Oryzias latipes: one gene and its partners. The protein of the gene in region 2 purifies or fractionates together with the protein of the main gene of each other region. This does not show direct contact. Links are inferred from orthologs where the notes say so. Each region holds a gene or a part of one and is shown on either strand. Other genes may lie near its edges.

What was found. The genes of interacting proteins can lie anywhere in the genome.
Region 1: the proteins of protein tyrosine phosphatase domain-containing protein 1-like (region 2) and ppp2r2d purify together in Homo sapiens (affinity purification with mass spectrometry; 5 studies listed by BioGRID and IntAct, counting the BioPlex papers as one, with this or other methods). This does not show direct contact. The link is inferred for Oryzias latipes from reciprocal best matches to the Homo sapiens genes PTPDC1 and PPP2R2D.
Region 3: the proteins of protein tyrosine phosphatase domain-containing protein 1-like (region 2) and serine/threonine-protein phosphatase 2A 55 kDa regulatory subunit B alpha isoform purify together in Homo sapiens (affinity purification with mass spectrometry; 4 studies listed by BioGRID and IntAct, counting the BioPlex papers as one, with this or other methods). This does not show direct contact. The link is inferred for Oryzias latipes from reciprocal best matches to the Homo sapiens genes PTPDC1 and PPP2R2A.

Annotation. Positions count from the first base shown.
Region 1 is NC_019873.2:19,563,822-19,567,763, forward strand, and holds the start of ppp2r2d (serine/threonine-protein phosphatase 2A 55 kDa regulatory subunit B delta isoform), read left to right. Parts: upstream 1-1,142; 5' UTR 1,143-1,319; coding exon 1,320-1,326; intron 1,327-1,513; coding exon 1,514-1,588; intron 1,589-2,970; coding exon 2,971-3,068; intron 3,069-3,162; coding exon 3,163-3,328; intron 3,329-3,400; coding exon 3,401-3,513; intron 3,514-3,593; coding exon 3,594-3,771; intron 3,772-3,889; coding exon 3,890-3,942. UniProt on the Homo sapiens protein: Substrate-recognition subunit of protein phosphatase 2A (PP2A) that plays a key role in cell cycle by controlling mitosis entry and exit. Involved in chromosome clustering during late mitosis by mediating dephosphorylation of MKI67.
Region 2 is NC_019865.2:17,422,964-17,427,204, forward strand, and holds the start of protein tyrosine phosphatase domain-containing protein 1-like, read left to right. Parts: upstream 1-1,441; 5' UTR 1,442-2,365; exon of another isoform or gene 2,366-2,591; 5' UTR 2,592-2,621; coding exon 2,622-2,667; intron 2,668-3,374; coding exon 3,375-3,540; intron 3,541-3,640; coding exon 3,641-3,721; intron 3,722-3,805; coding exon 3,806-3,924; intron 3,925-4,001; coding exon 4,002-4,139; intron 4,140-4,241. UniProt on the Homo sapiens protein: May play roles in cilia formation and/or maintenance.
Region 3 is NC_019870.2:24,073,967-24,077,911, forward strand, and holds the start of serine/threonine-protein phosphatase 2A 55 kDa regulatory subunit B alpha isoform, read right to left. Parts: upstream 2,801-3,945; 5' UTR 2,496-2,800; coding exon 2,489-2,495; intron 304-2,488; coding exon 235-303; intron 1-234. UniProt on the Homo sapiens protein: Substrate-recognition subunit of protein phosphatase 2A (PP2A) that plays a key role in cell cycle by controlling mitosis entry and exit. Involved in chromosome clustering during late mitosis by mediating dephosphorylation of MKI67.

The DNA of each region.
Region 1 (3,942 bases), on a different chromosome or scaffold from region 2:
CTCTTATTAAAAGAAATCGGGTTCCCATTGTATCAAAGTGCTCTTGAGCAAGGCACAGAACCTCACATTGTTCGAGGAGGTATTAGGATGGCACCAGATTTCAGCAGCGAAGCCGCCATCAGTGTGTGAGTGTGTGTGAATGGGTGAAAGGGACTGTGACTGTCAAACACTTTGGGCCTTCTAAGAAGGTAATAAAGAGAGCACTACATAAATTTACGCCATTTACCTTTTTTTGTTCTTTCCCTTTCTATAAAATTTCAATTTTAACAAATACATATCTTTAATTCATATGTTCAGTTGTTTTTTTTATTTTGTTCCATTTACTCATAACTATATACGTCTATTATAATTCAGTATTTCATACAAAGTGCAAAACATGCAATAAGAAAGGCTATGCATTTAATTTTAAGAAGACATCTGAGTGGCAAGCTGTTAAAGCCTCCAGTAGCCCTTTTAAGCAAATGGCTTGTTTATGCTTAAACTATGGAAACTTCACATCACTTTGAATTATGAGAGAAAGAAATCCATATCAAACTGAGACAGACAGGGCACTTGCATTGGTTCAGTTCCACAAAATGCAGCATTTGTGGTCCTTACAGGTAATGTCAATTGGCTTTTCACCTTTTTTGCCACTAGATGTCACTGATGGATCGTCCAATCAACGCGGTAGTCCTCAAAGTTGTCATGCAAAATAAAACATCTTGTAAAAAAATGACACGATAGTTTCTTTGAAAGATCAAAAGTTTTTTAATGTATTTTTGTCAATATTTTATTTTATTTTTCCTTAAACTTTTATGTTACCAAACTTATTTATATATAGTCAGGTTAATCTTGCCTATGACCAATTGAGAAAGACTTTCTGTAAATGCAGATTTGTTTTCCATTTATTAAAACTTAAACTGTTACAATAAGTAAAAACTGATTGAAAGTGATATAAATGATCTAAATTTTATTCATAAACCTGGAAAAAAAAACGTGGATCTGAACTTAAAGATATTATTTGCGCACATTAGTGTGTGTATCCGTGTAATAAAGCGCAGCACTGAAAGGGAAAAAAAAGGCTAAATGCAGATGTTGTGAGGTGATGCACGGGAGAGGATGGATGCAGCCAGGATGTGGCATGTGTGCATGACGTCATTTCTCCATGTACCGTGCGCCATTTTGGAAGAAAAAAAAATCACGGATAATTTCCGTGGTCTTGACAGATCTGGAGCCGAGTCTGCACACTGATTGTGGATGTTATCTGTTTTCTCTGAGCAAGCCGCATTGGTCGATCAGGTCTTGGAAGTTTCGTACAACAAGAGCTGCTAAATGAAGCAATGGCGGGTAAGCTACTTTTGAAGGGAGCAGAAGAATCCGGCTCTCTTGGTTGGTGTGATGGCCTGAATCTGAGAGTTAGCTCACCACCAGCGCAGCGGCAGCGCTAAGTTGTCAAACTGTGTCACTGTCGGGCCATCTTCACCGCCAAACGCGGCGTTTTACAGCTGCTAACTACCGCTGTGTTCTTTCGCAGGAGTTGCAGGAGGAAATGATTTCCAGTGGTGTTTCTCTCAAGTAAAAGGAGCGATAGATGAAGATGTTGCGGAAGGTAAGTAGCTTACGCTAGCTAGGCGGTTATGCTAACCCCCATAACGGTGGTCAAGCTAGCAGGATGATGGGGCTGTGTGGGTCTTCACGTGTGATGCGCCGTGTGTGACTTTTTGAGGGATGGACGCACATGTTGTACGAGCGGGGCAGCTGGTGTCGATAAATGTCTGTTTGCGAGCCACCTGGGAAAACGCCCTTTTAATCGCCGTGTGTTGCTAACAAGCTGAATGCTAGGTGCTTGCTAAACTATTAAAGGGGAGCGACCGTGCCCATGACGTCAATGTACTGCGTCTATAAATTGTGGAGGCAACATGGTTTGTTTGTCGAACGTGTGCGTATCGAGGTTGTGTTGTCGACGTTTTATTTAAATATATAAAGTTTGGAAAATGTTGTTCAAAACTAAAAATATACAAGATATTTTATTTTACCTTTTATTTATTGTTATTCATCTGTCCCTTCCGGCTGAAATTACTAAAGTATTTTATGTATTTATTTAAATTTACAAAATGTTAAGCTATGTTCTTTCATGTTCACTAAATAAATAAAAAACTATCCAGGTGTTAGGGTCAAAATTATGCTCCTCTTCACTAAAAATTAGATGTATATTTACAGAAATATAGCATTTCAGTCACACGCCCATGTACCTTTTTTTTATGCCTACGATTAATGCTAATTAAATTATTTTTGCACGTTTTAAATGTTACTTTTAAGCGTTTTTTAAAAGCAAAGAAAGTCTTTTTGCTTTCAGGTGGGGAAACTGTCAATTCGCACATATTTTAGGGTCACAGTTAGGGTTAAAGTGCGTCCAAGCAATTCATAATGAATTTCCATCTGTTTTTGTGTTTTGTTGTGCATAAATACAAGCAAATATCAACGTTCTTCTGTTGAAGATGTTACATAATTTTCATTCCACTGATGTGAAGCGTCAAGTTGTATTTCCAGTCTCACAAATGCAGAGTTACATTTTGTTCTTAAAGGCTTTTATTTTTGTCAAAGCAAAGCAGCAGTTGGACGCTTTTCAAACTGAGCTCAAACCTAAATGATTTAAGCTAATATCTACAGTTGTTTTGTGAGATGAAACTAAACCATAACAGATCTAAGCTATTTCTAATTACTTATGTTTTCTGCATTAAACGTTTTAGCAAAAAATGCTTACATCACATGATTTGTATTTGCATGAGTATACTCACAAATGTAGGAATTACGTATTATTTGGTGCTAAAACTTTATTGTAAATAGATTGGTATTAATGCATTTTACCAGTTGTAGTTAGTCCAGTTTGACTCATATTTTCTACATTATTTTCTACTAAAAACTAAAAGATAACAGCTAAAAAAACAGATATTTTAGTCAGATTTGCTGTAACTCGTGTCTGTTTTTCAGCGGACATCATCTCAACCGTTGAGTTCAACTATTCTGGAGAATTACTTGCAACTGGAGACAAAGGCGGGAGAGTAGTGATTTTTCAGCATGAACAGGAGGTAGGGTTTCTTCACAAAACACCACGCTTACGATCATTGTTCGCACAAGTCTACGTCGTCATTTCATTTTCCCCACTCTTTCTTCCTCTTTCAGTCTAAGAATCGTCCACACTTGCGTGGGGAGTACAACGTCTATAGCACTTTTCAGAGTCACGAGCCAGAATTTGACTATTTGAAAAGTTTAGAAATTGAGGAAAAAATTAATAAAATAAGATGGCTACCCCAACAAAATGCTGCTCACTTTCTACTTTCAACAAATGGTAGGAGGGTTTTTTTTCTCCATAATTTCTGTGTATTTTGAGGCTTTCTGACCTGTTTTTTTTCTCTCTCAGATAAAACTATCAAATTGTGGAAAATTAGTGAAAGAGATAAACGGGCGGAGGGTTACAACCTGAAAGATGAAGATGGGCGAGTCCGAGATCCTTTTAGAATCACCTCTTTACGGGTACGTAAAATCCCACCATTTCATCGTTTCATTCATTTTGGAAGTACTTTGTTGTTAACTTGTCAGGTTTTGTGTCTCAGGTACCTGTGCTGATGCCAATGGATCTCATGGTAGAAGCAAGCCCACGGAGGATCTTTGCAAACGCGCACACCTATCACATTAATTCCATTTCTGTAAATAGCGATCACGAAACTTACCTCTCCGCAGATGACCTAAGAATAAATCTATGGCACTTGGAAATCACAGACAGAAGTTTTAGTATCCTTTTCTTTTAAATATCTCTAGAAAGTTTTCATTTGATGGTTTTTTGTTTTTTTTGTGTGTGATTCTGTTCCACAATCCTGAGACCATCAGTTCCTTAACGGCTTGTTCTCAGATATTGTAGACATCAAGCCTGCCAACATGGAAGAGCTGACAGAAGTAATCACA
Region 2 (4,241 bases):
TTTTTTTAAAGTGAACCTGATGGATGACAGAAGATTTGCTTTTTTTATTTGTATATATTTTTAGTTTGACTTTTTTGCAATTTAATTATTTTTACTTGTTAAAAACATGTTTGAATATATACGTCCATTTAAAAGAAAAACAACTGTCTAATTTAGGTAAAACAACAGTTTAACTTTTAAAGTGCAATGAAAAAATGTGGAAAATTGAGACATCAGTGACTTACAGTTGCAACATGATGACGTATTTTTTATTTTAAAAAAACTTAATTTCTGTAACTTTTTATAGAACCCTTTTTTCATATTTTTAAAATAATGTTTAATGTAACATGTACAGTTAAACGTGAGACATATCATTGAAATTTGATGTATATTGCATGGAAACTGTTTTATGGATATTACACTAAAATTTATAGGGTAGATTCCAAAAACTCAATTGTTTACCCTCTTTTTGTTGTATGTCATCAGCAAAATGAAGCCTACGTCAGCAAGACCGAGTTGCGAAAGTACAAATTCCTAAACCTGATAGAAAAGAATCAAGATCTAACTCAGTGACGACCTGGGAATCAGATAGTTATGATAGCAACTAAACAAGATAATCAGAACTCCTGGAGACTCTGACGACAAAGGACATGTAAACATTTGAATAGTGCTACCAACTCTTTTCTGCTCTGACCAAATCTCTCAGACATTTTTTTGTCAAATGTTGTTGTAAAATGAAGACTTGTCAGTTGAATTGATTTCTCCTGCAATCAAAACATAATGTTGGTTTTATGTTGGTTGAAAGTTGTTTTTGTTTCCTCATGATGATGCTCAAGATGGAACAAAGTTCAGTTTTTAATTTTCTACCGTTTTGTCCCATTTGGGGTCACAGGGCTGCTGGAGCCTATCCCAGCCACTTGGGCGAAGGCAGGGTTCCCTGGACTGTCTGTTGCAGGGTCACAATCACACACACATTCACTCTCACACCTAGGGACAATTAAGTGTTTCGACAATTAATGGTTTCCAATTGACCTATGAAATGGGAGGAAGCTGGAGACCATGCATGGATAGAACATGCAAACTCCACACAGAAAGGCCCCCCATTGGTGTTGTGTTGCTGGTCCCCCAGATGGGACTTGAACCTTCTTGCTGTGAGGCAAGAGCGCTAAGCACTGCCCCACAGTGCAGCCCCTGAAATGAAATAATACATTAATAGTTAATAATACATTTACCTTTTTTGAAAATATAAATAAATAAATAAATAAATAAAAGTTCTTACAAACTCAAAAGTGGATGTATGTATATAATGCTTTTTAATTCTGTAAAAAACCCAACTGTTATTTTCAATATTTAAGTCACTTAAATTAAAATTATGAAGCATTTCAAATTTTAAATTAACTGAATACTATTTAGTCTTCTCTAGTTCTCTTCTCTAGTTATTTACCTAGCAATTTGTATTTAACAAAACTATCCATATCAGCATTAATGCCATTCTTGTAAAAGCATATAGATATTAATGTTAATGCCATTAACATAATGTTAACGGCAAACAAACAGGAAATTAATGTTTACAAGAACGATTTGAATGGGTAGAATCTTTTTTGTGTTAGACTGAACCAAAATTCAGATACCAGAATTGTTGCTTTGGTTCAGATAAGATGACTTGAAGGTCTCACCAACGTCATGAACTGATCTCTGCTGGTTGACCTGAAGCTAACCAGCTTTCCTGAAGCAGAATGTAAGCCAATAGGATTTCATAGACCTGCTATGTCACAGAGGTTTGGAAAACAAGATGGACTAAACGTCCTGACATCAAAAACACTTGCATGAAAAGTGTCATAGGACATTTATTTATTGTTGTTTTTTAATGCTGTGTCAACATCTAATTCAATCAGGACATATTTTTCCTTCATCCATCATGTGAGGTGAAGAAAAAGTTCTTGCAAAACAGGCTGGACACACGCAAATAAATGTGTAATATGTAATTGATGAGAAGACAGCTGCCAGACGTTTTTGTTGAGGAGCAAGCATTCTGTTTTATACTTGTTCTTAATAAGATTAGTGGTCTAATCTGGGAGGAGTCAGGAATAACCTGCGGAGCTGTGGAGTGCTAGAACTGCTCACACAATCTTTTTTGCTCCCTCTGAAGACACTGACCCCACATTTGATAATTCACAGATGGCCTTTAAGGAAGGAGACTTCAGGCTCCCTTACCTCGCTCTATGAAGATAACCTGACACAGGGGGCAGCAGGAAGGCCACAGGATTGATTTTCCACAGAGCAAAAGAAGGAATGACAATTTGGTTTGAGAAATACTGGTAACAGTAGTTTTGAAGGGACTCTTCACCAGACAGCAGTCGTCAGCATCACATTTATGGTACCAGAGGTAAACCCGCTTTTCTCCGTTTCATTTTTTATTTTTTGTTAGTTTGTATTTCTTTACAAGATAAGTACTTTGTACTTTACTGTTTTGTGGGGTATTTTTGGAACTTTTTTTTGTATTCTTATCAGCCAAGAATAACATTTCAATTCTCTAAAACACTATTTCCTTGCTTATTTAAACCATAGTACACATAAGTGTGCATAATAATTTTTAACCTTTGTGTTTTCAGTCTTTGATATGACGCTCAGTCTGAGTCCACATGGCATTTCATGTAAAGATAGGAGGTGGAGCTCTGATGGAATACAGTAAGTAAAAAAAAAAAAAAAAAAGGAAAAAACAGAAACTACATAATTTTACTGACTAAAGCACAATGCAGCTACATGAAAATACTTTTTAAATACAGAGGATGAGGGGCTATTTTTACTGTAATGCCCTCATGACAGATCATTAGTGCCAACCAAGGATTAAACACGTCCAAGTCAGATCACACAACTGATTATCTTAATCATTTAACCGAAACAGTTTAACCTACTTCATAGGGACTTGGTTGGGTGTGTGAAATGTTCTTTCAAAGTATCTAAATACGGTTCCGAAACCTACAATTAAAAAAATAGAGTTAATTTTAAAGAATTAATTCATTGAAAAACATCACTTTGAATCTTTGTTCATACCTTTTTTTTTTAGCTTTATTTATAGAAGAAAGTTTCACTGAGAGTAGACTATGCTTACCATGGTGCAGAGGTAGAGCGGTAGACCTCTGATCGGAAAATCACAGGTTTGGTTCCCGCCCCTTTGGGCAAGACACTGAACTCAGCATTGCTTCTGGTGGCTATGGGTTGTTGTCAATGTTCGGCAGTGGAGCGGCTTCAGTGTGTGAATGTGTATGTGAATGTGTGTGAATGGGACAGTGACTGTAAAGCACTTTGGGCTTTCTAAGAAGGTAGTAAAGCCCTATACAATTGAGCTATTTATGGATTACTTTTCTTTTCCTGTTTCCAAAAAAATACAACAGTAAAAGCTCCCAGAGCAAAATACACAATAGTAGGAGAAGCTATACGATATGTCATCCCTGGACACATGCAGTGCTCAATCGGGTGTGGAGGTGAAGACTGCAAATATGATAACCCTGCTTACTGGAGAGAAGACCAACAGGCCATAAAGGGCCTCTACTCCTCCTGGTAACCATCATTTCTTTAGTTTAATTTTCCAAATCATTTTACCTCACTGACTTGTCAAGGGCTTGAATTTAACATTATAATTCTGTTACTGTGGTTACAGGATCACAGAGCATCTTCTTGCCATGTCCAGACCTTCAACGGAAATTATTGAAAAGTTTGACGTAATCAATCAGTTTAAAAGGTATGCACTCCTTTGTTTCTCGGTCAGTACCTTTCTAAAGGTTTCTGAGGTAAAAAATGATAAAAACATCTTTGCTGTTTGAAGGAATGGCATCAAATCGGTCATCAACCTACAGATGGTAGGAGAGCATGCGAGCTGTGGAAAGCCTCTGGAGCCAGATAGCGGGTTTTCATATCGTCCAGAGGTCTTTATGGAAAACAACAGTATGTACTTTGGTATGTCTTTAGAATAATTCGACAGTAAGTCTGAAAGGAAAAACTAAACCATGTTATGCTCTAAGTTTTTTTCTATAATTACGGCTGGTGTGACTACGGAGTGGCCAACCTCACCACAATGTTGGACATGGTGAAGGTGATGGCTTTTGCACTGCAGGAGGGAAAAGTAGCGGTCCACTGTCACGCTGGCCTCGGCAGAACAGGTAGATTTTTGAGGAAATGTGTACAAAAGGCTTAGAGACCCTCTCCAATAAAAACAATCGGGTTTTGGGTGTTTATGATATGTTCTTGTGGCTTTTTTCATG
Region 3 (3,945 bases), on a different chromosome or scaffold from region 2:
GTTCTAATCGTGTTCCTTTTTTATTATTTTGATGTTGAAAACAACTTTATGACAATGTGAATGAATTTGCCATTAATTCTTGATCAAATCGGATCATTTAAATTGAACAAATATACACTATGACTCGTATCGCAACTACAAATGATATGAATCAAATAATTGTTGAAAATAAATTGTTATACCTGTATTTTTAATTTTTCTAAACAAAACTGTATTTCAAATGGTTCTTCGTACCTTCAGCGACATCATCATCGATGGCTCCTTTCACCTGAGAGAAGCACCACTGCATGTCACCTCCAGGTGCTGTGAGAAGAGAAAAATGAGTGGATTATCTTCAGTGACTCTTCTTGCCGTCTGCTTCAAACACCAGAATGACTTAACTGAAGAAGATTTTATTGACTTAATATTGCTCTAAACCTAGTGAAAAATGCTTTTTAAGAATGACACACTTCGTTGTCATCTGCCAAGGAGCAAGACAGAATTGAAAGTGGCCAACATGCCAAAGTGCAAGAAAATCATATTAAAAACCAAAAAAGTACAAATCCATACATAAAGGGTGACTGGGTGTTGACAGTATCATTAAGGAGCCTGATGGAGCATGGGTAAAAACTTTTTCAAGTCTGTTGGTCCTGGCTCTGAAGGACCTGCATCTCTTCCCTGGTGGCAGCAGTTAGAACTTGTGCTCAATAATATTCATGAATTACTTCAGAAAAGATCAGTGTTGGGACCTGTCTGAGATCCAGGGTCTAACAATGATTCCACTGACCATTACCGCAATATTTTAATGATCATACGTGCACACATGCACCACCACTTAGGTAGAAAACTGTGCAGCATCTTTTTTAAGAAAGTGATCATTCACACAGAATTTTCAAAATACACGCAGCCAGAGCTGACTTTTTCTTTGGTTGCACGGACCCGGATGAAGGGTTAGGATTAGGTTAATACACGCGACCAACCACAACATTTAGACTTGGCCGTACTTAAAATTTGTGCCGGTAATGCAGGAATGTGCATCTGTCCGCTAAACATGCAGCCAACATGAATTTCCATCAGTTTTTTGTGTTTGGTCCCACATAAATATGTGCAAATAACATAAGCTATATCTTAAAACATTAAGATACACCACTATTACTCGAGACAGTCTACACCTGCAAAACCAGTTCTGTTCCAGTGAGTCAACTCACAGCTATAAAACTACATGATCTTTTAATTACAATAAAAGTGGGTGCAGTCAGTAACTGCTAGACTGTTCTCTTCATCTTAGGTCTTGTAGCTGGTTAACAGCGGTCATGCTGAGGCCTGGTTTAAGAGGAACTCAACATACATGAACAATTCTGGCACTGCAATCATTGTGGCCACTTACAAAACTGAAACCGAATGTTTCCAACAGTCACCTTAAAGCAGGTTGACGTAGCAGCACATACTTTAACAGAGTACATTTTGTAGGATAAACAAGCCCAAAGGAAGCAGGTACAATCATTTCTGTGCATACACACCAGAAAGAGTCAAAACACTCACTGGAGGAACAAAATATCTCAAATGTTTTATTGGGGAGTCTTGTGCAATGCATTTGTCTAAAAATGTGAGTCACTCAAAAAATGGACGACGTGCAAGCATTCCACACTTTCCATGATTGACGTTTCTGCTATGCCTTTAAAACCAAATTTAAAATCAAAGTCTGCTATAGGGGTGGGGGGTGAGGCCCCCCCACCCACTGGAATCACAATACTTCGCTACTAAAGTAAAGCTAACAAATGAATGAAAAACATCGCAGAGAAAGTCTGAGCATTCTCTACAGATGAAATGGTCGTTATCCCGCGCCTCTTGTAGCCTTTGAAGCAGAAACTGCGTGAACATTTCCCTCAGAGCTCAGTGGGCCCGCCTGCTAGCCTGCATGTGAGCAATGTCAAAGTTTGCGCTAAAGCTAGCAATGACGGCTTGCCAAGCTAGCCGATGCATGTTTGAGAACTGTGGCGCTACTTTGAGCTTGCCCTAACGTTTGGGTTAATAACTCGCAGCCTTGTGTGTTGTTATTCCATTAAGAGGTTTGCACAGAAGTATACCAAAAGAAAACCTCCGTGTACGAGCGAAATACTCGGCCATTAGCTACAAAAACTTAACACTATTTCATGCCGGTGCCACAAAATTATTAACAGATTTGGCTAAACTGCCATGCATATCATTATCAGGTTAGTAATGCAACCTATTTGTGTAGATAACAGCAAAACAGCTGTAACGGTAACTGGTAAGCTAGCTTTAACCGGCAAATGTTTCTGTTGTTGCGCGAGGACAGTCGAGTTCTGTGAATAGCTTAGGTTAGCACTAGCCAAGTTCGGCTAACTAGCTATCGTTAGCTAAAACAGAAATGAACTGGTGGGTGAATAAAACCTGACTCCCGGAACGCAGAGACGACCAAGAAACGACGTTTTAACAATGAAAAAAAACATTTTTTTTCAGAACGTTTAACACAGTCCAGACGAATTACCTGCCATGGCGAGACAGACAGTGGAGCTTGCCTCAGTCAGTTGGTCACGATCCTGCTTCCCACTCCCACGCGCTGATTCGTGGGATCTTAACTTTTTTTTCCTCCCTCCCCCCCCTCCTCCACTCAGCCTCTGTTCACCGAGCAAAGCAGAACAATGTGTGTGTTTAAGTCAAACTGCGCGGTTCGGAGTTCCCGCTCGTCTCTTTGCTGCTCCTGGAAACATTCACTCCCCCGCGGTGGTGCTGGTGTCTCGCGCTCTCTTGCCGCCGGCTGCTCCGCATCCCAGAAGTCAATTCTTCAAACTCCCCTCGAGTCTCTTCCGCACGTGAACCAAACCCTCTTTATAATGTGCACGCGCATGACGGATGTTTTGTCAAAGATTAGAAAGGCCTAAAAGCAGGGCTCTGCAACCTTTAATACTTAAACAGAACCAAAAAATATGACTTCATCGTTTAGAAAAAATAGGACACCGATATGTATTTATGTTATTGTTATGATAAACATAATTTTTTTTTGCATACAAAAAGATTAACATACAGAGAAAATATATATTTTTCAAAATATGAAATAGTTTATAACTTTTGACAGAGGTTGACATGACATCCTTTCAAAATAAAAGACACCCTGAGGCCTCATAATCCGGTGCACCTTAATTTTGGTTTTGCTCACTGACCTCCAGTTGATTTTCTGTGGTACATGGCGCACAAAAATCTGGCATAACGTTTTCGTTCAACCTGTTAATGCGTACTGTTCTTCAACTGTTTGTGTATGAGGTCATTTAAGTCAGTTTGCTTTTTTTCTTTTTACTTTACAGTTACTTATTTAAATTAAAAACGTTTTATTTTTCTGTAACCAGAGAGCCAAATTCGTTTTGGAGCTTCAGTCAGCAGACATCTGGATTAAACCAATGGTCACACTGACCTGTTTGATACTTTTACTGCTCCGTTATACTTTAGCATGTTCATGCTTAACATTAGAAAAACTAAGTTTACTGCAAAAACGTCTTTGATTGCATTTAATTAACCTGCAAGATATTTAACAGCTAAGTTTAAAAGTTTAAGATAAATTAGCAGAAAAAAGTAAGTTTTTAAAAATTAGAACTGGTCTGATGGTATAAAATATAATATGCTAGCTGAGCAAATTAAATACTTTAAATAAAATATATAATAGAAAAATTTAAAACCTAAAAAAGGTTTAGCCTTGACCACACAGCTACATTTTTCTGGTCTCAAAAGTCAGATTTTTGTTGTTGGTAATGTTGGCTTTGTTGCCCCTCCAGATGGTTCTACTAAAAATGTGAAGGTGGTTCACAAAATCTGCAAAATCGAATTTGTTTTTAAGGTGAAGTCGTTACCCCCAGAAACCCCCCACAATTATTAATTATTTTTCAAATATAAATATACCCATCACAAACCTTTTTACCCATTTTCTTTGTGAAATTGCAAAGTAGGATGAAT